4 linked regions of the Elephas maximus indicus genome follow. The protein of the gene in region 4 purifies or fractionates together with the protein of the main gene of each other region. This does not show direct contact. Links are inferred from orthologs where the notes say so. Each region holds a gene or a part of one and is shown on either strand. Other genes may lie near its edges.

The links. The genes of interacting proteins can lie anywhere in the genome.
Region 1: the proteins of CUL5 (region 4) and ASB8 purify together in Homo sapiens (affinity purification with mass spectrometry; 3 studies listed by BioGRID and IntAct, counting the BioPlex papers as one, with this or other methods). This does not show direct contact. The link is inferred for Elephas maximus indicus from reciprocal best matches to the Homo sapiens genes CUL5 and ASB8.
Region 2: the proteins of CUL5 (region 4) and COPS6 purify together in Homo sapiens (affinity purification with mass spectrometry; 5 studies listed by BioGRID and IntAct, with this or other methods). This does not show direct contact. The link is inferred for Elephas maximus indicus from reciprocal best matches to the Homo sapiens genes CUL5 and COPS6.
Region 3: the proteins of CUL5 (region 4) and ASB2 purify together in Homo sapiens (affinity purification with western blotting; 5 studies listed by BioGRID and IntAct, counting the BioPlex papers as one, with this or other methods). This does not show direct contact. The link is inferred for Elephas maximus indicus from reciprocal best matches to the Homo sapiens genes CUL5 and ASB2.

Annotation. Positions count from the first base shown.
Region 1 is NC_064822.1:103,034,184-103,042,161, forward strand, and holds the start of ASB8 (ankyrin repeat and SOCS box protein 8), read right to left. Parts: upstream 3,008-7,978; 5' UTR 2,897-3,007; exon of another isoform or gene 2,548-2,896; intron 1-2,547. UniProt on the Homo sapiens protein: May be a substrate-recognition component of a SCF-like ECS (Elongin-Cullin-SOCS-box protein) E3 ubiquitin-protein ligase complex which mediates the ubiquitination and subsequent proteasomal degradation of target proteins.
Region 2 is NC_064830.1:91,596,236-91,603,414, reverse strand, and holds the start of COPS6 (COP9 signalosome complex subunit 6), read right to left. Parts: upstream 3,008-7,179; 5' UTR 2,991-3,007; coding exon 2,924-2,990; intron 2,703-2,923; coding exon 2,577-2,702; intron 1,875-2,576; coding exon 1,743-1,874; intron 1,328-1,742; coding exon 1,239-1,327; intron 1,136-1,238; coding exon 1,073-1,135; intron 763-1,072; coding exon 715-762; intron 631-714; coding exon 516-630; intron 427-515; coding exon 334-426; intron 236-333; coding exon 135-235; intron 5-134; coding exon 1-4. UniProt on the Homo sapiens protein: Component of the COP9 signalosome complex (CSN), a complex involved in various cellular and developmental processes.
Region 3 is NC_064828.1:107,556,838-107,564,341, forward strand, and holds the start of ASB2 (ankyrin repeat and SOCS box protein 2), read right to left. Parts: upstream 3,008-7,504; 5' UTR 2,826-3,007; exon of another isoform or gene 2,693-2,825; intron 1-2,692. UniProt on the Homo sapiens protein: Substrate-recognition component of a SCF-like ECS (Elongin-Cullin-SOCS-box protein) E3 ubiquitin-protein ligase complex which mediates the ubiquitination and subsequent proteasomal degradation of target proteins.
Region 4 is NC_064825.1:11,657,432-11,664,999, forward strand, and holds the start of CUL5 (cullin-5), read right to left. Parts: upstream 3,007-7,568; 5' UTR 2,941-3,006; coding exon 2,917-2,940; intron 1-2,916. UniProt on the Homo sapiens protein: Core component of multiple cullin-5-RING E3 ubiquitin-protein ligase complexes (ECS complexes, also named CRL5 complexes), which mediate the ubiquitination and subsequent proteasomal degradation of target proteins.

The DNA of each region.
Region 1 (7,978 bases), on a different chromosome or scaffold from region 4:
ATTTACAACAATAGTAAAAAATCTACTATCTATTTTGCAATTTAACAACGTACGTCTGGCAGTAACGAAGTGCCTGAGGTGCAATGCGAGAGTAAAGCTGACTGTGAATGTTAAGGTTATGTGTCAACTTGGCTGAGCCATGATTCTCAGTGCTTTGGCAGTTATGTAATGATGTAGTCATCTTCCATCTTGTGATCTGGTGTGGTCATCCTCCATTTTGCATAACACCGATTTTGCATAACAACCTGGTCTTTGGAACCTAACCATGTCAATAGTGAGGAGAAGGTGTAGTTGCTTTGGGAGCTGGGTAGACCTGGACACAAATGCTCTGACCCTCACGACCTCTGTTCTATTCTCTGATTTAGTAGTCTAGACAAGAATTGTCCAACAGGTCCTAAGAACCCATGGAAATCTATGTGGTTATACACAACTAGGCAAGGAAGGGGATTTTTAAATGGTAAAGATGCCACCGACATTTTTTCCTCTTCTGAACTTTTGTGATCTTTATTATTGGCACAACCTTTAGGCTATGACATTTGGCCTTACAGTTATTACATAAATATTATTTCTCCATCTAAATTGTAATTGATTGGAGGGCAAGAACTTTGTCTTATACTTTTTTCCCCATCCACAGAGTCTCCCAAAAAGCACATGTTTAATAAATATTGGTTGGCTGAGTGACTAAAGGGTATGGAAGTAATTGTTACCTATGAAAAGACAGGGAGAATGCTATGGAACAAATGCATATATGTTACTACCGACAAGGCATCTATAAAATATCTTCAAATGTTTTCAGCAAAGAAAAAAAAGGGAAACATATGATATTTTATAAAATAAGGAAGGAAGTAAAAGTATGAACACTCTGGAATCATCTATATAAAATTAGAGTAAAAAAAAATCCAAGTTCTTACCAATGACATATGCTTTCAAGTTTTGGGAAAGCAAATTTAAGAGTGCTAATAGAATTAAGTATTTTGACAATTGGTTATTTATGACAACTGAAAAATAGATTTGGGCAAGTATATATATTGAATATATATTGAAGTATGTATTGAAACCACAACAGGATGGAGAATTTTAGGATGGAGGAAGAAAATAATGCAATATACTTAAATTCAACTGTGATAAAACTTTTGGCTATGTAAGAGGTGCTAGTTGGGAACATTTAAAATTACAGCAAATAAGGTGGAACATTTCTATGAAAAAGTACATATGAGAAACTGTAGAAAAAAGAGGGTACAGTATCAACGCTTTAGGTGTAACTGTTTAGGAGTCTCTGTTCTTATTAAACTATAATCTCCTTGGTGATAAAGACTGTGTTTCTTTCCAATAGTGCCTGACACATGACAGGACCTCAATAAATTGCAATTGTATTTTTTGAACCAATACAAACCTTATTACTTAGAATCCTAATAAATTCAATACTTGTAATAATTAAGCACATTATTCATACAATGATTACTAAAAAACCAAGGAATAATTATTTTGGTTATCTCATAATAATTAATTTTTACTTTTTATAATGAAGTATCCCTTTACACATGATGGGATATACTACAAATTCTAATAGTTTCTATTTTGCTAGTGAGTAGCCATTTATGTGTTTAAAAAATATACAGTGCTAATTAACAGAAAAAAAAAAAAATCCAAAAGCAAACCCAGTGCCGTGGAGTCGATTCATAGCGACCCTATAGGACAGAGTTATAACTGCCCCATAGTTTCCAAGGAGCGTCTGGCGGATTTGAACTGGTGACTCTTTGGTTAGCAGCCGTAGCACTTAACCACTACACCACCAGGGTTTCCATTAACAGAATGAGAGTGAAAAATATCCAACTCATATGTGTCAATGATTCAAACTGAGCATCTCCCTCCTACTATGAATGAATGAGCTTACACGTTTGTTTACATGTCTCTCTGAAATTTTCTAGATATTTTAGATTTAGCGTATGTTTTAATGTCTCCAACAGCCAGAGAGAAGGTCTGTATCTCACACTTCTTTCTAACAAGGAAGGAGAAAACAAAACAAACAAACAAAAAAGGCAGAGGGACATTTGAGTCAGCGATTCCAAGAAAGGGTCTATCTAAAACGGAAGGCTTGGACTGAAGAGACTCTTCACCATTTCTAGGTGACCGACACCTTTCATAATCTGATGAAACAACCTGCACTCATTTTCGAGGCGCTCTCGACCTAACTCATCACTGGTCGTCTGCTGCTGCCCCAAAGCTCCCGGTAGAAGAGGTAAATCTCGGGCAGATTGACAACATTCCCTGTCAGGAAGGAACGGTCAAGGAAATCTAAACACGACCTCTCTCCGTGCACCCGTGCACGGTTTGACCCTGTTGGGCCCCTTCTGCTGGGGCTGACAGCCCTTTCTCCCCCATTCTCTTTACGACAGGATCGGGAGGTATCACCGAAGAGTTTTTACTGCGACGCTGGAAGCAAAGTGGGAGAGAGGCGACGTTCAGGCTCTGGCGCTAGCCAGGCCTGGGCCTCCGGCCCGCGAGGAGACCCTCGGCCCAGCCAGAGGCGCCCTCCACCCACCGCACCTGCTGGACCCTTAAGGGCTCGCGGCAGCTCGGTCTCTCCGAGGCTAGGGGGCGGGAGGCAAGGGCACAACATGCAAGGACGTGTGGTGTCACTTTCCACATGGGCTCCCAAAAGGTCGCAGCGATCCCGGCAAATCTCCTGGTGGTGGTACTGAAAGGGGGTCGCGCAATTTGCGCCAGAGAAGCCCCAGAAGTGGACCGACCCTCGCACGGATCTCTCCCCAAAGCCCGGAACGAAGTCTCACAGCCTGGAGGGCTCACGGGCCTCGAGCGGGGAGCGTTACTGGGTGTGGTGTCCCGGGGTGGGGAACCTGGCTGCAGACCTTCCCGCACCGAGTGCCGGACTCACCGAACCGCAAGGCTGAGCTGGGAGGCGAAAGCCGCTGTCAAGGCGTGACCCGGAAGCAGAAGTTGTCGCAGCGGGTCCTTCTGTTTACAGGACAAGGCCGACTAGGAAGCGCGCCTGCGCACGGGCCGGCGTCCGAGAACCAGTTGCGCCTGCGCAGACTCGCGGGGCAACCTGTGTCCTTCTGAGCTTCGTTCACCCGTTACTTTCTCATTTCGCCCAGAGGCTTTGCGCGGGCGCGAGATGTAGCACTCTCGGCCACAGTCAGGGGGCTCGGGTCCGAGTCCTACCGTGGGAAAAAGCTCAGGGGCCCAGGCTCTCGGGCCGCCTCTGTGGTCACACCTGCGTAGACGAGGCCTGCGGTGGGGCCATCCGTGCCCTTTTCTACCTCGCCACTGTCTCCACGCGAGAAACGGCCTGGGCACCTTATCCCCAGACTATTCTACCCTCCTTAGCCACACTCGCTAAACCAAACCTTGCGTCGACTGAATTCACACCGGTACACTTGCTTAGGAGACTAGATTGTTTCCAAGAAAGTCTCTTTGGCAAATGAGAGACTTCCAGCATTTATCCACCATGTTGAAGCGAATCCATGTTCTTTAGTACCCGTCCTGGATATTGTCCACCCTCCATCGGAGTGAACTACACTGAAGACAAACTCAACCACCTTAGGGGTGTAGCCCAAATGTTGAGGACTAAAACGGATGTCATTGCTGACAGTAACCCTTCCTACCCAGGGAGAGCCATGCTGGCACCTCTGAGAGATGTGCTTCATGTGTACAGCGTAAACATTTCAAAGCCAGCAGCACATGGTGCTGAATGTAAAGAAAGAAGCTCCCCACACGGGCGGTTTAACGAAGCAGCCTGTTGGGTCAAGAGTGTTGCAGCACTTACTTCCCAAAACTGGCCTAAGTCACAAAATCTAACCGGTTTGAGATTAAAGCAGGGGTCAGACAGTTCATGCAGCTCATGCCCTGTCTGAAGGGTGAATTTGTACCATGCAGGAATGCGTCCCCCTCCCTCCCGAGTCAGAATCGATTCCATGGCACTGGGTTTTGGGTCCCTCCCTCCCATCCCACCATGGTGAGGTTGCCCAGTTTCTCAAAAGAAGCTGAAATCTAGATTTTTAAGAATGGGAATTCCCTGAAATTGCAAATGTTGGCAACAATTTTCTAAAAATCGTTTTACATTATGCCTGCAAGCTACCTCTTTCAAACTCTAGACTAAAGGCTGCTTTGGTCATTGGTTGTTGTTAGGTGCTGTTGAGTTGGTTCTGAGTCATAGTGACCTTGTGTACCACAGAACAAAACACTGCCTGTCCTGTGCCGTGCTCACAATCATTATTATGCTTGAGCCCATTGTTGCAGCCACTGTGTCAGTCCATCTCATTGAGGGTCTTCCTCTTTTCCGCTTACGCTGTACTTTACCAAGCATGATGTCCTTCTCCAGAGACTGATCCTTCCTGACAACATGTCCAAAGTATGTAAGATGCAGCCTCGCCATTCTTGCTCCTAAGGAACAATCTGTTTGTACTTCTTCCGAGACAGATTTGTTCATTCGGCAGTCCATGGTGTATTCAATATTCTTCACTAAAACCACAATTCAAAGATGTCAATTCTTCTTCAGTCTTCCTTATTCATTGTCCAGCTTTCACATGTATATGATGCAATTGAAAATACCATGGCTTGGGTCAGGTGCACCTTAGTCTTCAAGGTGACACCTTTGCTCTTCAACACTTTGAAGAGGTCCTTTGCAGCAGATTTACCCAATGCAATGCATCTTTTGCTTTCTTGACTGCTGCTTCCATGACTGTTGATTGTGGATCCAAGTAAAATGAAATCCTTGACAAATTCAATCTTTTCTCTGTTTATTATGATGTTGCTCACTGGTCCAGTTGTGAGGATTTTTGTTTTCTTTGTGTTGAGGTGTAATCCATACTGAAGGCTGTGGTCTTTGATCTTCATCAGTAAGTGCTTCAAGTCTTCTTTACTTCCAGCAAGCAAGGTTGTATCATCTGCATAATGCAGGTTGTTAATGAGTCTTCCTCCAATCCTGATGCCCCGTTCTTCTTCATATAGTCCAGCTTCCTGGATTATTTGCTGAGCATACAAATTGAATACGTATGGTGAAAGGATACAATCCTGACTCATACCTTTCCTGACTTTAAACCACACAGTATCTCCTTGTTCTGTCCAAACAACTGCCTCTTGATCTATGTAAAGGTTCTTCGTGAGCACAATTAGGTGTTCCGGAATTCCCATTCTTCGCCATGTTATTCCTAGTTTGTTATGATCCACACAGTCAAATGCCTTTGCACAGTCAATAAAACACAGGTAAACATCCTTCTGGTATTCTCTGCTTTCCCCCAGGATCCATCTGACATCAGCAATGGTATCCCTGGTTCCATATCCTCTTCTGAATCCGGCCTGAATTTCTGGCATTTCCCTCTCTATAGACTGCTGCAGCTGCTTTTGAATGATCTTCAGCAACATTTTGCTTACATGTGATGTTAATGATATTGTTCTATAATTTCCTCATTCAGTTGGATCACCTTTCTTGGGAATAGGCAAAAATATGGATGTCTTCTAGCCAGTTGGCCAGGTAGCTGTCTTCCAAATTTCTTGGCATAGACAAATGAGCACTTCCAGTGCTACATCTGTTTGTTGAAACATCTCAATTGATATTCCATCAATTCCTGGAGACTTGTTTTTCACCAATGCCTTCAGTGCAGCTTGGACTTCTTCCTTCAGTACCATCGATTCCTGATCGTATGCTACCTCTTGAAATGGTTGAACATTGACTAATTCTTTTTGGTATAATAACTGTGTATTCCTTCCATCTTCTTTTGATGCTTCCTGCGTAGTTTAATATTTTTGCCATAGAATCCTTCAGTATTGCAACTCGAGGCTTGAGTTTTTCTTCAGTTCTTTCAGCTTGAGAAACACCAAGTGTATTCTTCCCTCTGGTTTTCTATCTCCAGCTCTTTGCACATGTCGTTATAATACTTTACTTTGTCTTCTCGAGCCACTCTTTGAAATCTTCTGTTCAGTCTTTTACTTCATCATTTCTTCCTTTTGCTTTAGCTGCTTGACATTCGAGAGCAAGTTTCAGAATCTCCTCTGACATCCATCTTGATTTTTTCTTTCTTTCCTATCTTTTCAATAACCTCTTGCTTTCTTCATGTATGATGTCCTTGATATCATTCCACAACTCATCTGGTCTTTGGTCATTAATGTGCTATGTGTCGAATCTATTCTTGAGATGGTCTCTAAATTCAAATGGAATATACCCAAGGTTGTACTTTGGCTCTTGTGGACTTGTTCTAATTTTCTTCAGTTTCAACTTGAATTTGCATATGAGCAATTGGTGTTCTGTTCCATTGTCAGCTCCTGGCCTTGTTCTGACTGATATGTTGAGCTTTTCCATTGTCTTTCCTCAGATGTAGTCGATTTGATTCCTGTGTATTTCATCTGGCGAGGTCCATGTGTATAGTCGCCGTTTATGTTGGTCAAAAAAGGTATTTGCAGTGAAGAAGTCGTTGGTCTTGCAAAATTCTATCATTCGATCCCCAGCATTGTTTCTATCACCAACGCCATATTTTCCAACTACTGATCCTTCTCTATTTCCAACTTTCGCATTCCAATTACCAGTCACTATCAATGCATCCTGATTGCATGTTCGATCAATTTCAGACTACAGAAGCTGATAAAAATCTTCAGTTTATTCATCTTTGGCCTTAGTGGTTGGTGCATAAATTTGAATAATAGTTGTATTAACTGGTCTTCCTTGTAGGTGTATGGATATTATCCCATCACTGACAGGACTGTACTTCAGGATAGTTCTTGAAATGTTATTTTTGATGAAGAATGCAACACCATTCCTTCTTCAAGTTGTCATTTCCGGCATAGTACACTATATGATTGTCTGATTCAGAATGGCCAATACCAGTCCATTTCAACTCATTAATGCCTAGGATATTGATGTTTATGTGTTCCATTTCATTTTTGATGATTTTCAATTTTCCTAGATTCATACTTTGTACATTCCAGGTTCCGATTATTAATGGATGTTTGCAGCTGTTTCTTTTCATTTTGAGTCATGCCACATCAGCAAATGAAGGTCGTGAAACCTTTACTCCATCCACATCGTTAAGGTTGACTGTACATAAGGAGGCAGCTCTTCCCCAGCCATCTTTTGACTGTCTTCCAACCTGGGGGGCTCATCTTCTGGCACGATATCAGACATTGTTCCGCTGCTATTCATAAGGTTTTCACCGGCTAATTATTTTCAGAGGTAGACCGCTGGGTTCTTCTTCCTAGCCTGTCTTCGTTGGAAACTCAGCTGAAACCTGTCCTCCATGGGTGACCCTGCTGGTATCTGAATACAGGTGGCATAGATTCCAGCATCACAGCAACATGCAAGCTCCCATAGTACAACAAACTGACAGACACATAGGGGTTGGTCATTGGAAGCTCCAAGATTTCTGTGTAAGAGGGTTTTAGGAGGCAGCCCTCTGATTGGGATGGGAAGCCTGGGGGATTGACTTGAAGCTGTAGTTACAAATTGACCACATTGTTTTTACTTAATTTGCAGGTTTACATGGGGTAGCTTGAAAGGGGTCTGAATGAGACTCTGTGGAGGCAAGAGCCCCCAACCCCATCCCCAAGCTACTTTACTGCATATAATTGCAGTCAGTGAATGGAAAGAGTTTGATTCTGTGCCCATTGCCTCTAAACAATCTATGCTTCTGTAATCTATGTCAGAGCCCAAAGGAACATTAAACTCCCAAACACAGGGACTAAATGTACTTGAGTCTGTGCTGATCCAAAATGGGGGAGTGCATTCTGGGAACCTATTTCTTTACTGGGCAGCAGCAGAACACAGGGAAAATCCAGCCGCCTACATGCCTTGTCCAGACCTAGTCCCATTTCACTCAGTACCCATCAAGCCTCCATCCACATCTGTGTCTAAAACTGTGATGAACATCAACAGCCCGATGGTATATTCTCCCCTAAGCCCTCCTGGATGTGACCTGGCTGGGGAATTATGTGGCAAGAGGCAGTAATACGTAATAAGTTCCATTCC
Region 2 (7,179 bases), on a different chromosome or scaffold from region 4:
ATTGCTGGGAGGGAACAGAAAGAACCAGTTCCCCAGGGGATCCTTTACCGTATGCTCAGGGAACACCCGAATCCCATGTCCTGCATGCAAAAACAGCTTGAGCCCCACCTCCCCATCCTGGGCTTCACACTCACGTCATAAAAGTCTGTCTTGAACTTATCTGTGCTGAGTACAGGGAGGCAGTGGCAGAGAGCATAGGCCTCTCTCAGGATCTCATGGTTAAAGGGGACCTCTCCTAAAGGCACAAAAGCAGACTGCATTAGTATGGAGGCTGTTGGTACCTCAGGAAGTAGAGGAAAGATGGTACGAGTGCCAGGGAGGCACTTGTCCCACCTGCTTCAGAGGCCTTGACGTACTCCAAGATGAGCTTGACACGGCTGTGCAGCATCTTGATGGCGCTGTGCTGTGCTATCAGGTGTTCTGCCACTGCAGGGACAGGGACAGGTGAAGGGGGAGAAGACACGTGGCCTCCCTTCTACCCCTGCTTGCAAGGAAGCTCCGCCAGTCTCCGTTACCAGTGGAGTTCTCTCCGCTGCCTGTGGCTGTCATTCTGGCCACGTGGTCTACACCGATGCGTTCAGCTTCCTCTGTGGCCAGGGTGTAGGTCAGCTCGGCAAACAGCATTGTGGCCTACAGAGCAGAGTACCCCACAGAGGGTCAAAAGCAGGAAACAGGCCAAGAGCAGGATCTGAGGGTTGAAGGGTAGGGTATTACCTCTCCATTGATTATATCAATGACAGATTCAAAAACGCTGACAGGAAGCTGTAAAGAAGAGATGGAGAACAGTTCTAACATCAAATGTGCCAAGAACTGGACAGGGCTGTTTCACACATCTTCTCATTTAATACCCCCAAGAACCCAGTGAAGTAGAGACCATCCCTTTTACGTATGAGGAAAATGCAGCTTAGGTGTAAAATGATTAGACAAAGTCACAGAGCTGCAGAACAGAGGTTCAACTCTGGCATTCCCCAACACAGAAGTAATGTCATCCAGTAAAAGAGAACAGAGAAAGGCTAGAAGAAACAGTAACAGAGAGGCATGGTTAAAACGGCATGGGGTCAGTATTACTCACATCTGTGTGCTTGGTCATAGGGTTCAACTTAAGAAAGAGGGGACTCTCGATTATCTCACACACCTAGAACAGGAGGAAGAAGGACAAGAAAGTCAATGCCTTCTCTCTCCTCTTCCCCTCATCCTCTAGCCTCTGCCCCAGCATGCACATGTGTGAGCATGTATACCTGCTTATGGACGTGGATGTCGGAGGGGTCAGGCGGCCCCCCTGTGGTATACCAGCCGAGAAACTCCAGCTCCTTGAATACCTGTTTAACTGGAGAGGAAGGGGCCAAAGCACATAGTATTCCTTTAAACCATCCTTCCTCACTTTGAAGCTCCTGGTGTACTTTCATCATCTGTTCCCCATCTCCCTCAAATCCTGGCTTGTTTTAGAATAATTACTCCCTCTATCTATAGGGTCGCTATGAGTCGGAATCGAGTCGGCACTGGGTTTGGTTTTTGGTTTTATCCTGTCTTCTCTCATCCTTTACTTTTTTGTGGGGGAGGGTCTGGACCTGAATGTGTTCTTTTTCTGAGATCTTTTCAGCTACTCTCATCTTACTTTCCCTGTTCTCATCCCATTCTCCTGTTTATTTCTTCCCAATCCTATCTATTTCTCCCCGCCCCCCCTCCCCACCACCCTTTGCTTTTACTCCCATGCCTCTCCCCCACTTCTATTCCGCTCTCACACTGCTCCTCCTTGGTGTAATAATATTCCTTGTCAATGATAATCTTCTCTTCCACGGTGTGAGACAGCAGTTCAAAGGAGTTCATCACCTCAATATTTCGGCCCTCCTGCTTCCCGATCAGAGCCCCAATCACTGGGGAGAAGACACACATTAAGTGAGTACAGGTAGTCCCTGACTTACGATGGGTTCTGTTCTGATGACTCTGTAGTAAGTGATTTTCCACGTAAGTTGAATACGTCGTTTTTGTTTTCATTATTATTGCCTTTTATCATCAGTACCTTTATAAAGGAAACACTGATAGCATAGTAATTAAGTGCTACAACTGCTAGCCAAAACTTCGGCAGTTTCACTCCACCAGGCGCTCCTTGGAAACTCTATGGGGCAGTTTTACTCTGTCCTATAGAGTTCCTATGAGTCAGAACCGACTCGACGGCAACGGGTCTGATTTTGGTTTTAGCTTTATAAATCACAACATTGAACATCTATGAGTGAACATCTGAGAATAACATCAGCAAATTATGAGCGACAACACTGTAATACATATTACTAATGATAAGATGTATGAAATGAAAAAACCAGAAGTCCTAAGTGCAGTTTGTCCCAACTCGAATTCTAACTCAAACTCGACATTCGTTGTCGAGGACTACCTGTATAAGGAATTCCAAAACTTTCCCGGAAAGCCTGAGGTCAGTAGGAACCAAGTATTGGGAAAGCAGCGATTCAGGGAGAGGGAGTTGGCCTCAGTAAAACAAGGGAGTAGTTACCGGGGAAAAGTTCACCATTTGGGGAAGGTGACCAATGGGAGGGGGTTGGAAAATTATGCCAAACACTCACCCTGCATAGGCCGCCCCTCCTGGGAGCGCATGCGGATCCAGTGGTCTGAGATGTTGAGAATGACAAGGGGATGAAGAGCGACGGAAACACTACCAGTCACTCCGGAGGCCATCACGCTGGGGACTACTAAGGGTGGAGAGAAAGGGGTGAGAGTCACAGTCCGGGCACCACGTTCTTCCCTGGGGACGGGAGTGGGGGACGGCAGAACCCGGGCCCTACATCCCTCTGCGAGTTATCCCAGGGAAAGATGTGGCCGTTCTGTCCTCCTGACTTCTCCCGGGAGTCCAGAAAGGTCTTACTGCACCCGAAAGAGTGTCTCCAGAAACCGTCCCCGCCGGGCCCGTTACCTGATGCATCCACCTCCATCCCGGTGCTGCCTCCGGTCCCGTTCGCAGCAGCTGCCGCCGCCGCCATTTTCCCCACGCCCGCCAGCCTTGGTCCCACCCCCTCCTTCTCGGCTTCCGTACGGAGCAGCGGCGCATGCTCAGTTGAGCGCGCCTGCCCTGGCGTTGGGTGAGCTTTCGGTTTGGCGGTCTCCAGCTGCTCCTCTCACCCGACCATTGCGGGCGGCGCGGGCGGCCCTGTCAGCCGGCAAACCAGGAGGCCCTCGAGGCGCCTGAACCCGACAAATTTTCATAGACCCTGCCCCCATCTCTCTCCGCTGGTGACCTTGAGTAAAATTGAGATAAGAACACCTAGTTCTTAAGGCTGTTGGAAAATGAATTAAATGTCATGTTATTGCCCTCTGGATACAATCCAAACACCTAACCACCAAACGCAAGGACCTGCGTGATCTGATCCCCACCTGCCGGTCTACCTTCACCTCATACTTTTCTATCCCTTGGTCCTGTGCTTTAGCCACATTCCTCCCACATGCCCAACTCACCCCCACCCAAGGGTTTGTTCATCACTGGTATTCCCGTGATCCCCGTGTATAACCAACACAATATCTGACACAGAGGCATTTAAGTACTTTTTGCATGAATAAATAGGGGCGGAACCGGGTCTCAAGTGGTGCTAAATGCATGTGCTATCTTGCCTTCTTCCAGATATTGGTACCACATTTTTTCAAAACCCAACTTCCTTCTACCCGCCATCCCCTGCAGTCTGTGAAAAACTCACCTGGCAAACCTCCCAACCCACTCCAGCCCACTCCTACGCTCATGCAAATTGTATACACAGCTGCCCCTGTCTAGCTGGCACTTCTAGTGTGCATCCATACCCCAACCCAAAGTGTAAGCTCCTAGAAGACAGAGATCCTGTCAGGTGCCTGTTTTGTGATCCTGCAGAGCCCAGTCTAGGGCCCAGAACCAGCAGGTACCAGGAAATGTGTTCTGGTGATAATGGTGACTTGCATCATTGGTCAATCTCTTCATTTAGGAGTCTGGAAGAAAGGAATTTGAAGGGCAAGAACCTTCAAAGGAAGGAGACTGAGAAATCCTGCAGGGAGAGGAGTCTTCTGGCCAAGGGGAAATTAGGAAAGAGTTTTTTCCCCTCTAATCCACAGTGAGTAACACCCCACACCCAGGTGCCCATCAACTGAGAGGGTTGTTGAAGAAAATCATATATGCCTCACTTAGGAAAAATAAGCTCAGAAAAATGGTTTTCTTTTTAAAATGGTAGACGGCTACATTGAAAAGTTAAAAAAAAAAAGACAAGAATTATTGTAGTGTTAATAAAGTTCACAGCTGTGTTGTTTCACACATTAAAGCACTCCTTTGTCTTTGTTTCAAATGCTCTGGAAACATTATTCAACTCATAAAACAGTGGTTATTGGGGGAATTTAAGGATGACTTTGAAACTGAACCAGTTGATAATACATGCTTCAGAAGTAAGCTTACTGGGCATTTCTTAAAACTGCACTGTATTTTTAAAAACGACAAAAAACTCAAGTTGAAATTTTGGTGTTAAGACAGTCATCCTTAGGTTCTCTTCCTACCTTAAAACAAAACTAAATTCAACGCATCACTTTGTTGTTTTGGTAACTTGTCCATCCACAGGGTGACTATGGAAAGGACAGGAATCCTGCTGGTGGGGAACAGAGCAGAGGATCTGCTCAGAGAGAGCCAAGACTGGGTCACTGATTGCTTTGAGCCTGTGGTGTTGCCAAGAAATTGTACCTCTTTTGGGTCAGTGGTTATCCATTAGTCATTTATTCAACAAATATTTAGGAGTGCTTACTACGTGGCAGGCACAGTTTTAAATGGTGGAGATACAGTACTGAACAAAACAAAGTTTTGACCTTGTGGAGCTGATCTAGAGGGGTGCTATTTTACATGGAAAACTTCTCACGTAAAGTGAACAGGGACCTGAATGGAGCGAGGAAGCAAGGCATGATGATAGCTCATGGGAAGAATGTTCCAAACAAAGGGGACAAGTGCAAAGGTCTTGAGCCAAGACAATGTATGGTATATTTCAGGAATAACAAGAAAGTCAATGGCTGGAGCAGTGTGAATGAGAGAGAGAATAATAGGACATGAAGTCAGAGAGGTGACAGGGTTAGGTAATGTGATGCCTTGTAGGCCATTATAAAGACTTTGGCTTTCAGTCCGAGTGAAGTAGAAAAAAAAAAAAAAGACGTTTGAACAGAGGCATAACATGATTTGACTTAAGGTTTTAAAGGATCACCAGGCTGATGTGTGGAGATTAGAGTGTAGGGGGCAAAGGCAGAAGAAGCATGTAAAAAGCTATTGTTATAATCCAGGTAAGAGGTGCTGGTAGTTTGGTCAAGGACAACAGAAGTGGAAATAAGGAGATGACCAGTTATCCACATGCCTTCATGGACATTAGAAGAAGGCATCCACTCTGGAGCTTAGGCTGGATTTCAGTTTCCACCTACCCCTTCACCCAACTGCCTTTGACAGGGTACAACCTGCACAACCTACTCAGCAGTCCTGTGAGTCTGCTTGAAGTCAGGATAGATTTTGAAGGTAGAGCCAATAGGATTTGCTGACCCAAGGACTCTTGGACAGCAGGAGAAGCATATGAATCCATATCAGTCAGTTCGCAACAAGGTTGTGCCGGTCCAGTATCTGTCCACATGTGAAGGGAGGGACCACATTCAGGGGTTTCCATTTACAGCACCAGACACAGAAGAATAGCCCAGGACTGGCTGCTCCGCATGATTTTTTTCTGTTTTCGAGCACATGGACAAGGATGACAAACCCAGTGTGACTCAGACAGACCATCTGATGGTTTTGCCCTGCTGCAGTGCTGGATCTAGAGGATAAAGAGAGCATCAATTGATCCTAATTTTTTCTCCAGTCATCCCTGATTTGTGTGTGTGAGACAAGGGCATTTTTACAAAATTTATAAAGACCCATTATATCCCCCACCTTGACATATGTAGACCACTTTGGGGGGACCTGGAGAGTAGTGTACTCAATCAAGTGGTCATTGTCTTCATGATCTAGGACCACATCAATCCAACAAGAGAATACCCGTGGCAGAATCAGAATTAAGCCTGAATTCCCTAAGCCCGCTTTTGACTAGGCTGCACCCAGAGGGTGTACTAAGGTTGGCCTGGCATAGCCATTAGGGAAAAAAAGATGCATCATACTGAGGAACAGTCAGGGCGGAATTCTAAATTCTCAAAATAAGTATAATCTATCACCTCTTTCATCTTGATCATTACCCAAGAGGTGGCCAAGAGGAGATGAGGTGGCCCCTCTCTTGGGGGACAGTGGCATTCAGTGACTAGATCATCCTACTAGATCAGAGCAGAAGGAGATGAGGGAAGTAGAGCTGATTTTAGAGGAGGCCGTTCCAGCACTTGGCAACTAGATGCTGTAGATGGTAGGGAGTGTGGAATGTCTATCACATAACTTGACAATTGGCCATTATTGGGCGGCCTTTGCAAAAAAAAAAAAAAAAAAGGTGTACCATTATCAGATTGGAGAGGATCTGGAAAGCCTAAAGCATAAAAGAGTAGTTTCAAGGGCCAATCATGATGTGGCCTGAGTCAGCTGATAGGACTGGAACAGGGACACCACAACCTAAAGAAGTGTGAACAGAGGTGAGGCACCAAGAGTAGCCCCTAGAGGGCGTCAAAGGTCCTATATAGTCAATTTACCAGGAGCAGGAGGGGGAGGGGGAAGGTCTTATGCAATGTGGCTTCTGGGCAGTGCAGGATTGATCAACAGCTTGGTACCCGTCAGTCTCAGCAGAGAACAGGCCCCTACCATGGGCATCTACATGACTGACCCAACTGTCAGATTAGCAGCAAAGATTTGTTTCCACAGTTCACAGCCCTCAAGCGGGTGTCTTCAATTTGCCTTTCTGTAGTCTTCCAAGTGGTCGACCAGCTAGACCACTGGCAACAGCCCAGTTCAGTAAAATGCAGCAAGGTTTGTCAGGGGGAGTATTGGCCAGGCTTATGAGAACAACCTTGAGTTCTGTCTACTGAGCAGAGCAACAATGTCGGCTTTCAGTTTTCCACAGCAGCAGCCCAATATGGACACCATCAATTTCAACTTAGCTAAACCATCAGTGAACTAGGCTCAGGCATTTAGAGGAACCTCTGCGAACTGAGGACCCCACTGATCCATGTCTTTGCAACACCAAGATTCTGCTAGGGCCAGACTGGCTGTGCTCTTGAATTCCC
Region 3 (7,504 bases), on a different chromosome or scaffold from region 4:
AGACCCAAAAAAACCCAAACCTGTTGCCATCGAGTCAATTCCGACTCATGGTGACCCTATAGGACAGAGTAGAACTGCCCCATAGGGTTTCCAAGGAGCAGCTGGTGGATTTGAACTGCAGACCTTTTGGTTAGCAGCTGAGCTCTTAACCACTGTGCCACCAGGGCTCCTAGCTCCTACAGCCCCTCCAAATCCAGCTCTCAGTGCTGTCTGGAAGTCCTGTCACCTAGGTCACAACAAGGAGTCCCTGAGGGGTGCAAACGGTTAAGCACATGACTACTGGCTGAAAGGTGGGTGGTTCCAATCTACCAAAAAGTGCCTCAGAAGACTCGCCTGGTGATGTGCTTCCAAAAGGTCACAGCCTTGAGTCAGAATGGACTCAGAGGTAACTAACAACAACAGGTCGTACTAACTTCATCTAGGACTTCCCTGCTGCCTTTTCCCCTCTCCCTCTGGATTTGTTTTCTTTTCCTCTCTCCCACCTTTATTTGAATTTTTCTCTTTTCCTCTCCATCTGCCCTGTCTTTCTCTCCTTTCTCCTCTCCTCAATGTCCCTGTCTCTAAACATCTCAGGGAGGCGATGAATCCATTCATATATACGTCCCCACCATCTCCCCAGCACGTTCCCCTCAACCACAGAGTCTTCAAAACCTAGTTTATACTCCTGGTTATTGATTATTCCAAAAGAAAGGAGCCAAGGATATGAACCTCTCCTGGGACGCCACCTCCCCCACTGCCTGACCTAGAGATGGAGGGACACTCGGGCAGCCCAGAGACATTTTGGTGCCTCCTTCAGGAAGACTATCTTGTATCTAGCCCCTCCACAATATACCAGCACCCTGTGATGCCTTGGCTATGCCGGGGACATTTGTCCCAGGTACATGGGTGGCTCTGTTTACCACAGCCCATCCCCTGGGAGCTACCAATGTGGGCACGGAGGCCATGAGGCCGGGGGCTGATTCTTCCAATACCTCCTCTCTCTATGGCCCTCAGTTTCCACATCTGGAATGGGAGTAACAATCACCTGAACTCCTGGTCCCTTGAGGAGAGTCAACGAGAGCCATCACCCCCAGCCCATGGCCTCAGCGCCTGGCTGGTAGGATGTGTTCAGTAAATGCTTACTGTTACTGATTGTGATTATTATCAAGTCACTGTGGATGCCTGATAGGCCCTAAGCCCAGGGAGGAGAAGGAGGGTGCAGCCCCGGGAGGCACCCATGCCTGGCCTGTTTGTGTATGATGGATGATGCAAACCCCAATGGTGTCAGGTGGGGACAGTGGCCAGTGCCACGAGGCGACTGTGCTGTAAACAGGCCTCTCCACCAGCTGTCAGGGCCTTCTGAGTGTTTTGGAAGGGAGCGAGTATCTGCCGAGGGCTGCTTGGCCTCTGCTGGCAAAGGTCCTGGGCTGCGGCTGATGTGTGGGCCCAGCTGGTTCTGCCTTGGCCGCTGTGAGCCCCCTCAGTTCCTGCTCGCCCATTCTGTGCAGGGCGTGGGGGCTGTAGTGAGCCTCTGCCCTGGTCAGGCCTTCCTCACTCATCCTTACCCTTCCGCCTGCCTCCTGGATCCCTCACTCATCCTCAGGGTTTCCCGAGGTGCTGTCTGAAGCCAAAGCCAGACCTGCCCTCCTATGCTCACATCAAACCCAAACCAGTTGCCTCCGGTCATTTCCAACTCATAGCTACCCTACAGGACAGAGTAGGACTGCCGCATAGGGTTTCCAAGGAGAGGCTGGTGGATTCAAACTGCTGACCTTTTGATTGGCAGCCAAGCTCATAACCACTGTGCCCCCAGGGCTCCCTCTGCTCAAAAGCTGTCGGTAAATGTTCAATCTTCTCACCTGGCATCATGGCCGTGCAGCTCCCCTCCCAGCTTCACCCCTACTTCCCACCTCTGTGGCCCTTCAGGCAGCTGCCCCACACTTCCACCAGCACCCAGGCCCGGGCCGCCCGTCTGCCCCTCCATCTGGAGATGCCTCCCCGCCTCTACCTGAGGTTGTCCACCTATCCTTCCAGAACCTGCTCGAAGGCCATCTCCTGCTTGACCCTGTCCTGTGCCCCTTCCCTCAAGCACACACACAGAGGAAGAATTCTTTGTCCTGGTCCTTCCCACAGTGTTCTGTTAAGTCTTGCATAGTGTTTCTCCATCTTCACACTGTCTCGCGTGTTTTTGTTTGCAGCTTCTATTTCTTCCCCTGAGCCCCAACCCCGTTGCAGGTAAAGCCCAGGGCACCCCAGTGGCTAGCCTCCCTCCTCATTGCCGTGCACATGTGAACACTTCATAAACATTCACTTGTCTTTCTCAGGCATGGCAATGCCTGTTTGCCTGACCCAAACACATTTCTGAAAGTTGTTTGTCTGACGCAGATCTTGCCCAAGGCCCACGGCACCAACAATAGCATCACTGAGGGCTCCTGCCGTGTTGCCATTTTTAGACGTGCACATCAGAGTGACACTCTGAGCCAGAGTCCCCCGAAGGATGGACAAGCCCATGCAAATTGCCGATTCCATGTCCCCAAAGCCAAGATGAAAAGCCACCAGGAAACTTTACAACTCAAGCCAAAAGGACAGAGACGGAGAGGCAAGAATGTAGCTTGACCCTAAGAGCTTTCAGCTAAGCAGTGTAGTGGTAAGCCCCAGCCAGCCAAATCACCTTTCGCAAGGTCTGTACAAGAGACTTGAAAGCATGCATTACCTGCTAGGCTCTGAAACAAGGATACAACTCAGGTGTAATAAAAGGATTTTCTTGAGACTGTCCTAATTCAGAACGTGCCCCTGCGTTTTCTCCGCATCTTGGCTGCACTGCCAGGCAGCTCTGAAACACTCGCCTTTGAAGCAGGGAGTTTATTTCGGGCCCACCGCATGACCAGTGATGACAAGCCAAACTATAAGATGTTACGAATCTCAGATTTCCTGTTTGAAGATTGCACTAGAAAACGGCGGTCCTGCCTTCAGCTCCTCTCTCAATGCATCAATTACAGACTCTCACTTCATAGAGCATCTTGGAGCTGAGCCTCCGGCTGACCCCCACGTGACGTCATCATTTGTGATCCTTGACATGGAGGCCATATATGGGTATGTTTCTGGAACTACCCAGGAGGGAGAGAGAGGGGAGAGGAAGGAAGAGGAGAGAGACAGAGGGTAAGAGACAGAGAGACGGGGGAAGAGAATGGAGAGACAGAGAGTTCGGAGAGAAAGAGAGAAGTGAAGGTGAGAAAGAATGTGTGGGAGAGAGGAAGAAAGAGAATGAAGTGGGGGAATGAAAGAGGTTGATGGAGAGAAAGAAAGATAAGGAAGAGGGTGGGAAGAAGAGGGGGAGGGGCTAAGGGTAAATGGAGACAAGGAAGAAAAGGAGAAAGGAAAACAAACACTGGGAGGAGAAGGAGAGAGAGGAATGGTGATCTTCTGAGAGACGAAGATGGGGAAAGAAAAGGAAGTGAGACAGAGAAGAGCATGGATGGGAGGAGACAGGAGCAGGCGAGGGTGGGGGAAGGGAGGTGACTAGGAGAGGAGCAAAGGAAAAAGAGAGAGGGATGGAAAAGAAGGAATTAGAAGGCGAAGAAGAGGACAGAGGGACTGAAGGGAAACTGAGCACTACCGGGAAGAATGGGGAGAAGTGGAAAAAAGAAAGGGACGGAAGAGAAGTAGGCAGAAAGGAAGATGGAATGAAAGAGAGGGTAAGAGGGAGGGAGAGAGGGGAAGAAGGATTCCATGTAAACAGCCTTTGGAGAGCCCCCCAGTCGGTACTTGGGTGCAGAGCTGCAGCAGTTGGCAGAGCCTGACATTTGGAGGCACCAGGTATCCAGATGCTGGATGCTGGGGAGACAAAGGGCAGGGATGACAAATAGGCGAAGGGCAGTGCCAGCTCGGGGCCAAGGCACACAACAGAAGGGCGCTTTTCTCCAGGTCCAGGGAAGAGTGTTCCCTGCTTCTGGAAAGGTCAAATGGCACGATATGTCAGCACCAGGTGGCAAAGACCATGGCAACAGCCACACTCATTGGGCTTCCCATGTGTCCAGCCCGCTGCCTGGTGAGCATAGGGTGTGTGATGCACCCCACATATGCTTTCAGTCCCAGGCGCAGAGTCAGGGGCAGGAGATGTCTATGTCGCTGAATGAAAATCATTCCAACTTCAAGAGCCCATTCCCCTCAGAGGATATTGGGTTTATAACAGCCATAGCCTAGTTTCTTATCAACTCCAGCTCAGGAGAATTTCAGCACACCTTTATACTCACTTTGAATATCCTACCTGAGAATAAATCCCAGTGTATACAGGGTGCCCTGGGGTTGGGTCAGAGTTCTGGAGGTCTGGTCTGGGGCAAGGATGGGAGAGACATCATCAGTTCCTGACAGTCTCCCAGCTACTATGACACCTCCTGGGTCTTCCAGGCAAGTGCTATCTTCACCCCCATTTTACAGATGATGAAACTGAGGCTTGGAGGGAGGTTGGGTCATTTGTACACAATCAGTGGCTTGGCCACCCGAACCAGATCACCCCACCTGAGAACGTCCCCCCAGGCCACTGTGGCTGGCTGGCCTCTGAAGCCCAGGCTCAAGCTCAGCCCCTTATAGGCCTGTCATTTAGCTGCTGCCCTGAGCCATGGCAGGGATGTGAGAGACTCGGGGAGGGGGACTGTTCAATGCACTTGACTCTTTTGGGACTTTTCTTGGTAATTCGAAGTTCTAGTGGAGCTCCGTAAGGTGTTCATCCGTGCTCAGATTCTCCACCTATCTACCACCACCGTCTCCCCAGAACTGGCCTGGGTGGGGTGGGTGTGGGCAAGGCACAGGCCCTTCTCAGGGATGTGTACACTCTGCCTCCCTCTGACTTGCCCCTCCCTCCTGGTCCAGACAAACCTCTTGAAGTCAAGAGAGCCAGCGAACCCACTTTCCAAATCCTCTTGTCTTATGCCTGGACTCTGTGTTTGCAAATCAGAAGTCCCCATTGTCCTCTTTGGTCTCTGATTCTGCTGCAATGGCCCTTCCCGGAGCCCCTGGGATATAAAGAGTCACAGGGGAACAGGAAGTGCATTTGGGGTGGGCAGCATGGAAAGGAGGATGGCCAGGCACCTATTAACGTATCAAAACATCATCCTGCTGCACTCCCAACGACGTTCCAAGGCAAGGACTTTCATCACCCTCACTTCACAGATGAGGAAACTGAGGCTCAGAGAGGTTGGGTCATACGTTCACAATCCTGCAATTCATAGGCAATGCCTTGGCTTCCTGAACCGGATCTGCCCAACCTGGAAGCCAGTGCTTTTAGCCATAGCTCTATCCCCCATGTAATGGGCAATCCAGATGGTGGGGCCAAGCAAGAAGACCCGCAAGGCAGTATGGGACAATTCCCAAAATGCTGGGGTGCTGGATAGCGGGTCCTTTGGGAAAAGAACCTGCTAGAATTGTTCTCCACACACATATTGTCCTGTAGACCAGTGGACAAGGTACCCTCTGGACTAGTGGTTTTGTTCCCTCCCATTCTCCCATACCAAGGTGAGCTGGTTACTATTATGTGTCAGCTTGTCTAGGCTACGATTCTCAGTGGTTTCACAGATACTAGGCTGGGTGCTCTTCCATAATGTAATATAATGTAATCACTTTTCATGATCCGATGTGACCAAGACAATTAGTCGAAAGGGAAGTTTTCTTGGGCTGTGGTCTGCCTCCAATATTTAAACAGATGTTCTGCAAAGCTTGCTATTTCTTCTGGTCACCTGACCTCTGGGATGTAAGCCTTCAGCAGTCTTGGCCTGCCACCTGACGTGCAGAGTTTGGATTCGCCAGCTCCCACAACCCCATGAGCCAGCAGAGGCCTCCAGCCTGCCGCTGGACCCATGAACTTGGGACTTGCCATGAATTTGGGACTTGCCAGCCCCCACAGTTGCGTAAGGCATTTCCTTGAGGTAAATCTCTCTACGTATATTTATATATACTTTTCAGTGGTTTTGCTCCTCTAGAGAACTCAGACTGACACACAGGCACCTGGTATACCCCCATCTCCTTCTCTTGGCACCGATCCTGCTCATGACTCATCAGCAGTGGGGCCTTTTGCTGGGGTTTCAGCCAAGGCCATCATTTCAGGCATGAAAGATCTTTGCGGGGTGTCTTAGTTATTAGTGCTGCTATGATAGAAATACCACCAGTGGGTAGCTTTAACAAATAGAAATTTATTTACTCACAGCTAGGAGGCTAGAAGTCCGAATTCAGGGCACCAGCTCTAGGGCAAGGCTTTCTCTCTGTCAGCTCTGGGGGAATGTCCTTGTCTCTTCAGCTTCTATTCCTTGGCTCCTTGGTGACCTTCATGTGTTTTGGCATCTGTCTTCCCCCATCTCTGCTTGCACAATCTATTCCTTTTATATTTTGTAAGAGATTGACTCAAGAGATTGACTCAAGACACACCCTACATTAATCCCACCTCATGAACATAACAAAGACAACCCATTCCCAAACCGGATTATAACCACAGGCATAGAGTTTAGGATTTACAAACATATTTTGAGGGGGCACAATTCAACCCACAGCAGGGGGTTGCATCATCTGGAGATAGAACCTTGCCAGGTACTTTCACATTCTGGTCCTCATCTGAGACGTAGAACAGGTGTCAGGTGGACAGGAATGGGAGTGTCATTCCCAGGGTCCAGATGAGAGTACCAAGAGTGTGACGGTGGCAGAGCCAAGGCTTGACCCTGGAACCCTGGCTCCTCCCATGAGCCACATCCCCACTTGAGCTATTCCACAGAATGAGAACTACAGGCCATGAGAGAGGTGTGGGGATGAGCGTGGAGGGCCCACCCCTGGGGGAGTCAGCCGGCACTAGCCAAGACCCAGGACCCAACACTCCACGCCAAAATAAAGGAGGACTCAAGGTCTTACCCAAGCCTTTCCCCGTAGTCATCACCACCCCATGTCGTAAGGAATGAGAGCTGTGTCCAGAGTTACGTATGTACTTCCTAAAATGATTCAATTGGAACACAGCCTGGGAGGAAAGGGATTTATCAAGTTAAAATGAAACATACAGGGAAAAGGTCACAATATGTTAACCAGTTGCCATCATGTCACCTCCAACTCATAGCGACCCCGTCTGTGTTAGAGAAGAACTCTCTCCACAAGGTTTTCAATAACTGATTTTCCAGAAGCAGATCACCAAGACTTTCTTCCAAGGTGCGTCTGGGTAGGCTTGAACTTTAAGCCTTTTGGCTAATAGCCTAATGCTTAAACATTTGCACCATCCAGGGACTCCCAAAATATGTTAAGTGGGAAAAAAATACAAAAGGATAAAGAGTAGCCTAATACCATCCCCTCTTTTTATACAGTGGCGCATAGAAAAATGTAACATGTTAATAATAGACATCTCCACGTCTTCCCAATTTTCTACACCCACGATGTAGGGGAAAGGGCAGCATTATTTAAGCAATTGCTCAGGTCTGAGTTTATGGTTGGACAGTAGGACTCAGCTTGGGCCAAGATGGACCATTCACAAATGTGGCATCCTAGATCCTATTTCAAT
Region 4 (7,568 bases):
CAACTTGTCGTGACCCCGTGTACAACAGGATGGGACCACTGTGATCTACAGGGTCTTCACTGATTTTCTGAAATAGATTGCCAGACCTTTCTTCCTAGTCTATCTTAGTCTGGAAGTGCCACAGAAACCTGTTCAGCATCATAGTAACACACAAGCTTCCACTGACATATAGGTGGTGGCTGTGCTTAAGGTATACTGGCCAGGAACCAAACTGGGCATTCCTGAGAATTCTACAAGCCTATTAATCCTGTCAAAAAAGAAAATGAGGCTAATTTTAATTTGATCACTCCCTAGCCAGCCCTGTCTCTATTAAACTTAGGAATATAAGTTTCCTAAGAATTATGTTATAGATCTATCTGACAGGGTCTCACTACATTTCTCCAAAAAGATAAACTTCTCAGTCTTCCTATTTTATGATTATCTACTTTTTAATATATGACTATCCCCCCTATCTCCCAATGAGGAGAGGGAAAAAAAGGTTTTCAGGCCAACTTGAGTACATAAACTTTTGTGGATATAGATAAAAGAATCAAATGTCTATTTACAATACCTATCATAGTAAGTTAGTTATACAGATTTTACATCACATACCATATAAAATAATATTCATATAGAAATTCTGCTTTTTTCCTAGTCAACATTTTATAAAGTAATTTTATTGACATTTTTCCAATGTATCTTTGGCATCTGTGTCTTCATGTTCACTAGAGTGATTGAGCCCCCTAACAGTTTTCTTCAAACCATGTTAACTTCCTTTTATTTACAAGCTGTTTGAACTGTAGCACTTTTTGAAGTCTTGTGATCTTTTAACCTAAGCCTAAATGTCCACTTTGCATACGTTACGGCAGTTTTTCCATTCTATATGTGTATCCCATAGATGTAGATCCATAATCTCTACATGGTAACCATTTACTAACTTTGACTTAAAGTAGCTTCAGATTTGTATCTCCTCCAAACAATACTTTTTATATCTCCTTCAAACAATACTCTTTTGAGTATGGGGGGGCAAGGAGGAGAGCTTGCCTCATATTCAGGTAATCAACAGGTCAAAAACTTCACAAGGTAGGAACCCAATTATTTCTTAAACACATTTTGATTAATAACATACACTACTGCTAGTAAACACTGACGCATTAACAATAGTCTTCAGAAGTTAACGAATTTCTTTCTGGACTAATACATTACAACTCTGCTATACCATCTGTTAGAAAAAGAAAGCAGAGTAGGATGGGATGCTCAACTCCTGTAAATTAGTTCTTAAAGAAACGGGACAGATGGAGAAATAGTTCCAGTAATTTATGTGTTTTTTTTTGGGTAGTGGTGGAAACAGATGGCGCAGTGGTTAAGAGCTACAGCTGCTAACCAAAAGGTCAACAGTTCGAATCCACCAGGTACTCCCTGGAAACCCTATGGGGCAGTTCCATTCTGTCCTACAAGGTTGCTATGAGTCGGAATAAACTAGACGGCAGCGGGTTTGGTTTTTTTGGTTTGGCGTAGTGGTTAAGAGCTGGGCTGCTAACCAAAAAGGCGGGCAGTTCAAATCCACCGGCCGCTCCTTGGAAACTCTATGGAGCAGTTCTACTCTGTCCTATACTATTGCTATGAGTCAGAACTGACTGGATGTCAACGGGTACGGGTATACGAATTAAGTGTCAGGTACTGTTTAAAGCATTTTACATACATTAATTCATTTAATCTTCACAATGTTCCTATGAAATAGGTGCTATTGATAACCTCCTTTCACTGATAAGTCAGGCTTAAGAAACTACCCCAAAGCCATACAGCTTGTAAGTTGCAGAAATTCAGGCAGTCGAGTTTAAAAGGCAAGACACTGCCTGTTAAGTTCGTAAAATTAGGTTTTCATTTTATAGGACAGTTTCACCTATTAAGCAATCAGTATCAGTGGCCTAAAGAAGACATAAAGGTGAGCATCCGGTATATTTTAATATTATTTTCTATTATCCATCCACACTGCCTGAAGGCATAATAATGGGTCTGAGGGAGGAACAGTTTATCCTTTGTTTTTATGTTTCCTGAGCAGATCACTATCCACATTTCAGTCAATGCTTTTAAGGAAAAGTTTCCTAACTATAAACACAAACACAGAACGAATTAGTACCATGTCTTCCTCATTCTCTTTCAAACTTTTTAACTGACGGTAGAGCACCTGTCCCTCTGGGCCTAGATCTACCTTGCCATCCCAAACACATAAAACTAAACGTTTTGATAAGGTAACTTTCCTAAGCCCTAAAACGATGGTAGCACTTCATCAGCTGTCATTTGGTTGGGTGCTGTAATGGGGGCGGGGGTGAGTGAGTGGAGGGGGGAGCAGTTTCTTAAGGAAAAACAAGAATTCAAGAAGAGGAGGTAGGGGCCTGGGAGGTAGGAGGGAAGGTGCGTCGTGCGGAAAAGGGAGGGAGGAAGGGGGTGGGGTTGGAGGCACTGCTCGGTCTGACTTGGAATTTCGTACAAATGAGGAAAACAGGGATTGAGGAGATGGGGGTCTGGTCATTGAAACCTGTTAGGCAGCATTTTACTGATTTTCTTTTTATTCGTCTTAGACTCTTGCTTCAGAAGAAACTGAGACCCCACGAGTACTAACGGCCCAATCCCTCAGGCCACAGTACGAGCATTCAGCCTCCCGGCCAGAGCTGGTCCCTTACAAGCACCGCTCCCCGTCAGCCCGCAGCCGGGCCTTTCACACGCCGGGCAACCGGCGGGAGGGACAACCAGAGCCTCTCGGCCGCAAGGCCAGGCACCCGCGTTCCGCTCCTCTGCGGCAGTCGCAGCTGATTCCCTTCCGGTGGGCAGCCCCTGGACACTCACACATCTCGTTGCTGAACCTGAACCTAGCCTATCTGAAGAGCTGAACCCGGCAGTCACAGAGTAAAAGCCAGGCTGCATTGAGAGTCTTACCTTTAACAGGTTAGACGTCGCCATGTTCCTTCAACTTACACTCTCGCGAGACAGCGCGAGATTTCGTGGGGCGCTGGACCAGGCCACAACTGGAGGCCGGAGTTCCCACCAGAGCCAACCGGCCGATGGGCCCCGCACCGAGGGTGTGGTGGGCGCGGGAGCGGCGTGCCGACAGCGCTGACCTTGGACCAGGCACCGGGAGCTTCCTTACTCTTTCCGCCTACATGGTCACCGGAGCTTCTCCACACGAAAGAGCTCATGCAAACGCTCAGGGCGACCAGAGCAGCGAATGGTGAAAAGGTAACGGGAGCCGACCTGACGTGGTTGAGGAAGCATCGACTCCACGAGCCTCCCTCACACCTTCGGATTAGCCTTTACGGTTGCCCCCGCAGCGGCCACCGGCAACGAAATTAGCTCGGTTTAGGCCCCACAGCTCAGGTTCCGCGGCCGCATCACGTGACGCGGCGGGCGGGGGCGCGCACGGGAGCGAGCGTGGGAGCCTGGAGCCTTGGTGGGACCGGAGGCCGCGTAGGGGGCTGGAGTACGCCCTCTGCTGGCGGGACCCGGCGTTTCCCGGCGTGCTCCCCCCACTCCCCGTCCCCAATCTGGGGATTCGGTTTTCAGGGATGGAACTGTGTGATCCCGAAATGCTTGTAGCAGCTGTCTTCAGTCAGAACTGACACAGACAAGGCGCCCAGTAAATATTTGTTGAATGAATGCACCAAAGTGACACTGTTCATGTTTCTATTCAAGAGCGCGTGGCACTTAGATATCCTGTAAAAGATTGTCGAGGAATGAGTATTAGTCCTGGATTGCATTAAGGCATATTTTCCTAAAAGATGCTGAACCCTAAGTCCTCAAGCTTTATCCCCTCAGACCACAGACCACTGGCCTAGACAAGAGAATGTAATTTGTACAGAGAACAGTATAGCTGGCATTGTATTATATGTGTTTACAAACAGTATTCATTCTTACATTCATAATATGTTACAAATTAATAAGAGCTATGAAGTAAAATAAAAGGGGGGATGAAGATGTAATTTTAAGTAAAGTGGCCTGAGTAGGCCTCAATGAAAAGATGGCGTTTGAGTAAAGATGTGAAGGAGGTAAGGGAGCCAGCCCATACTATATGTGGGGGAAGAGCATTCCAGACAGAGGGAAAAGCAGGGGAATGTACCTGAGATGGCAGGGTGCCCAGAGCATCCAAGAAACAGGTCAGTGTGTCTGGAGCAGAGAGAGAAAGGAGAGTAGTGAGATCATATAGGACCTTGTAACCAAACCAAACCCACTGCCATCAGGTCGATTCCAACTCATAGCAACCCTATAGGACAGAGTAGAACTGCTCCATAGACTTTCCAAGGAGCGCCTGGTGGATTTGAACTGCTGACCTCTTGGTTAACAGCCATAGCACTTAACCACTACACCACCAGGGTTTCCATAGGACCTTGTAGGCCACTGTTATTCTTAGCTACCATCAGGTTTGCCCCCGACCCAAAACAGAATATTTGGGGATTGGACAATTGCGATGCATAGGATTTTTATGGAGCCCTGGTGGCACAGTAGTTAAAAGCTTGGCTGCTAACCAGAAGGTCAGCAGTTCATATCCACTTGCCGCTCCTTGGAAACTGTGGGTCCTGTAGGGTCGCTATGAGTGATTTTTGGAAGTAGATCACTAGGCCTTTCTTCTAGTCCTGCTACCTACTCTGGAAGCTCCACTGAAACCTGTTCAGCATCATAGCAACATGAAAGCCTCTACTGACAGATGGGTGGTAGCTGCACATGAGGTGCATTGACTGGGAATCGAACCCAGGCCTCCTACGTGGAAAGCGAGAATTCTACCACAGAACCACCAGCGCCCCCTTAAACTGCTGGCTTTTATTCTAAATGAGATGGGAAATCGTTGCAGGGTTTAGAACCCATTTTAATCTGATTACTCTGACTACTGTGTAGTGAATAGAAACAGGAAGATCGTTTAGAAGGCTTTTGAAATCTCATTTAATCCAAATGAATTGATGGAGAGTAACCTAAAACCAAAGCCAAACCCATTGCCATCAAGCTGATTCTGACTCATAGCAATCCTGTTGCCCCATAGGGTTCCCAAGGCTCTAACCTTTATGGAAGCAGACTGCCACATCTTTGTTCTGTGGTGCAGCTTGTGAGTTCAAACTGCCAACCTTTCGGTTAGCAGTCACGTGCTTAACCAGAGCACCACCAGGGCTCCTTCAGAGAGTAACCTAGTCAAACTTAAACAATTACTGAGTGATAGAACAATGATTAAGAGCCACAATGCCTATAATGTCCTGGCAGAATGTTAACAAAGGGAGACTAAACTTAAGAGATCATCTTTGTTCTACAAATGAGAAAATTGAGGCTCATAGAGATGACCTGGCCAAGATCACTCAGTTGTAGGGGCCTTCCTATGGAAAATAGTGCCTATGGTAATTAGTTTTAAACTGCTGAATAATCTCTCACATCTGGAGGTGGAAACTGCAATGGCCAATACAAACTTTTCATTAGTGCCCTCCTCAAATGGCCATGGAAACCCTGGTGGTATAGTGGTTAGAGCTATAGCTGCTAACCGAAAGGTCGGCAGTTCAAATCCACCGAGTACTCCTAGGAAACTATGGGGCAGCTCTACCGTGTCCAGTAGGGTCACTGTTAGTCGGAATTGACTCAACAGCAATGGGTTTAGTTTTTTAGTTCAAGCAGCCATGCCTTAGTTAGCACCTCTACTCAGCTGGCCTCACAAAAAAGGCCTAGTCAATAAACTTTATGTAATTATGTTTTCCAGTGCAACTGGGTTATCCTCAACCCTAGTCCAGTTCTACTGCTTAATTTAAAATGTAAGACTCTAGGTTAGACTATAATCAACGCATGCACCCTAAAAGAGAAGTGAGGTGACAAAATGTGATGTAACAATTGATGAATAAATGAACTAATGACCCTACTTAAAGAATCCCATTAAATATTTAATACTTGTTTGAGCATCTGTTATGCAGTAGACACCAGAAATGCAGGATTAAGTAAGACAGAAGACCCCTGCTCTCTTGGACCTTATGGTCTAGTCAGGGAGCCAGATGTTAAGCATGGTTACACAAACCAAATATTCCTTAATTGGAGTTGTGATAAATGCTGTGAAAGAAATACACAATGTGCACCTGAGAATTTAGTTAATGATATTAATATTGAATTTAGGGGGAAGTGAAGGTATATTTGCAGTTTACTTTGAAATGTATCAAAGCAGAAGAGGGATAGAAAAATTGAGAAAGCAAATAAAGCAAGTATGTTGTCGTTGTTAGGTTCCAACTCTTAGTAACCCTGTGTACAACAAAACAAAACACTGCCTGGTCCTGCGCCATCCTCACAATTGTTATGCTTGAGTGCATTATTGCGGCTACACAACCCATATCGTTGAGGGTCTTCCTCTTTTTCGATAACCCTCTACCGAGCATGATGTCCTTCTCTAGGGACTGATCCCCCTTGATAACACGTGCAAAGTATGTGAGACGTAGTCTCGCCATCCTTCTGAGAAGCATTCCAGTTGTACTTCTTCCAAGGCAGATTTGTTCGTTCTTTTGGCAGTCTGTGGTATATTTTGTATTCTTCGCCAACACCATAATTCAAAGGCATCAATTCTTCACTGATCTTCCTTATTCATCGTCCAGCTTCCACACGCATATGAAGTGATTGAAAACACTGTAATTTGGGTCAGGCGCACCTTAGTCTTCAAGGTGACATCTTTGCTTTTTAACACTTTATCAAGGTCTTTTGCAGCAGATTTGCCCAATGTAGTGTCACATTTGATTTCTTAACTGCTGCTTCCATGAGCATTGATTGTGGATCCAGGTAAAATGAAAACCTTGACAACTTCAGTCTTTTCTCTGTTTATCATGATGTTGCTTATTGGTCCAGTAGTGAGGATTTTTGTTTTCTTTATGCTGAGGTGTAATCCATACTGAAGGCTGTGGTCTTTGAACTTCAGTAAGTGCTTCAAGTCCTCTTCACTTTCAGCACGCAAGGTTGTATCATTTGCATAATGCAGGTTATTAATAAGTCTTCCTCCAATCCTGATGCCTAGTTCTTCTTCATATAGTCCAGCTTCTCAGATTATTTGCTCAGTATACAGGTTGAATAGGTATGGTGAAAGGATATAGCCCTGACACACACCTTTCCTGACTTTAAACCGCACAGTATCCTCTTGTTCTGTTTGAACAGCTGCCTCTTGATCTATGTACAGGTTTCTCTTGAGCACAATTAAGTGTTCTGGAATTCCCATTCTTTGCAATGTTATCCATAATTTTTTATGATCCACACAGTCGAATGCCTTTGCATAGTCAATAAAACACAGGTAAACATCCTTCTGGTATTCTCTGCTCTCAGCCAGGATCCATCTGACATTGGCAGTGATGTCCCTGGTTCCACATCCTATTTTGAATCCGGCTTGAATTTCTGGCAATTAACTGTTGATGTACTGCTGCAGCCACTTTTGAATGATTTTCAGCAAAATTTTACTTGCGTGTGATATTAATGATACTGTTTGAGAATTTCCACATTTTGTATAGTAAAATGTTAATGTTAAAAACTAGGTGGTGAATATACTGATGTTTCCTGTAAAATTCTTTCAGTTTTGCTACATTTGAAATTTTTCATAA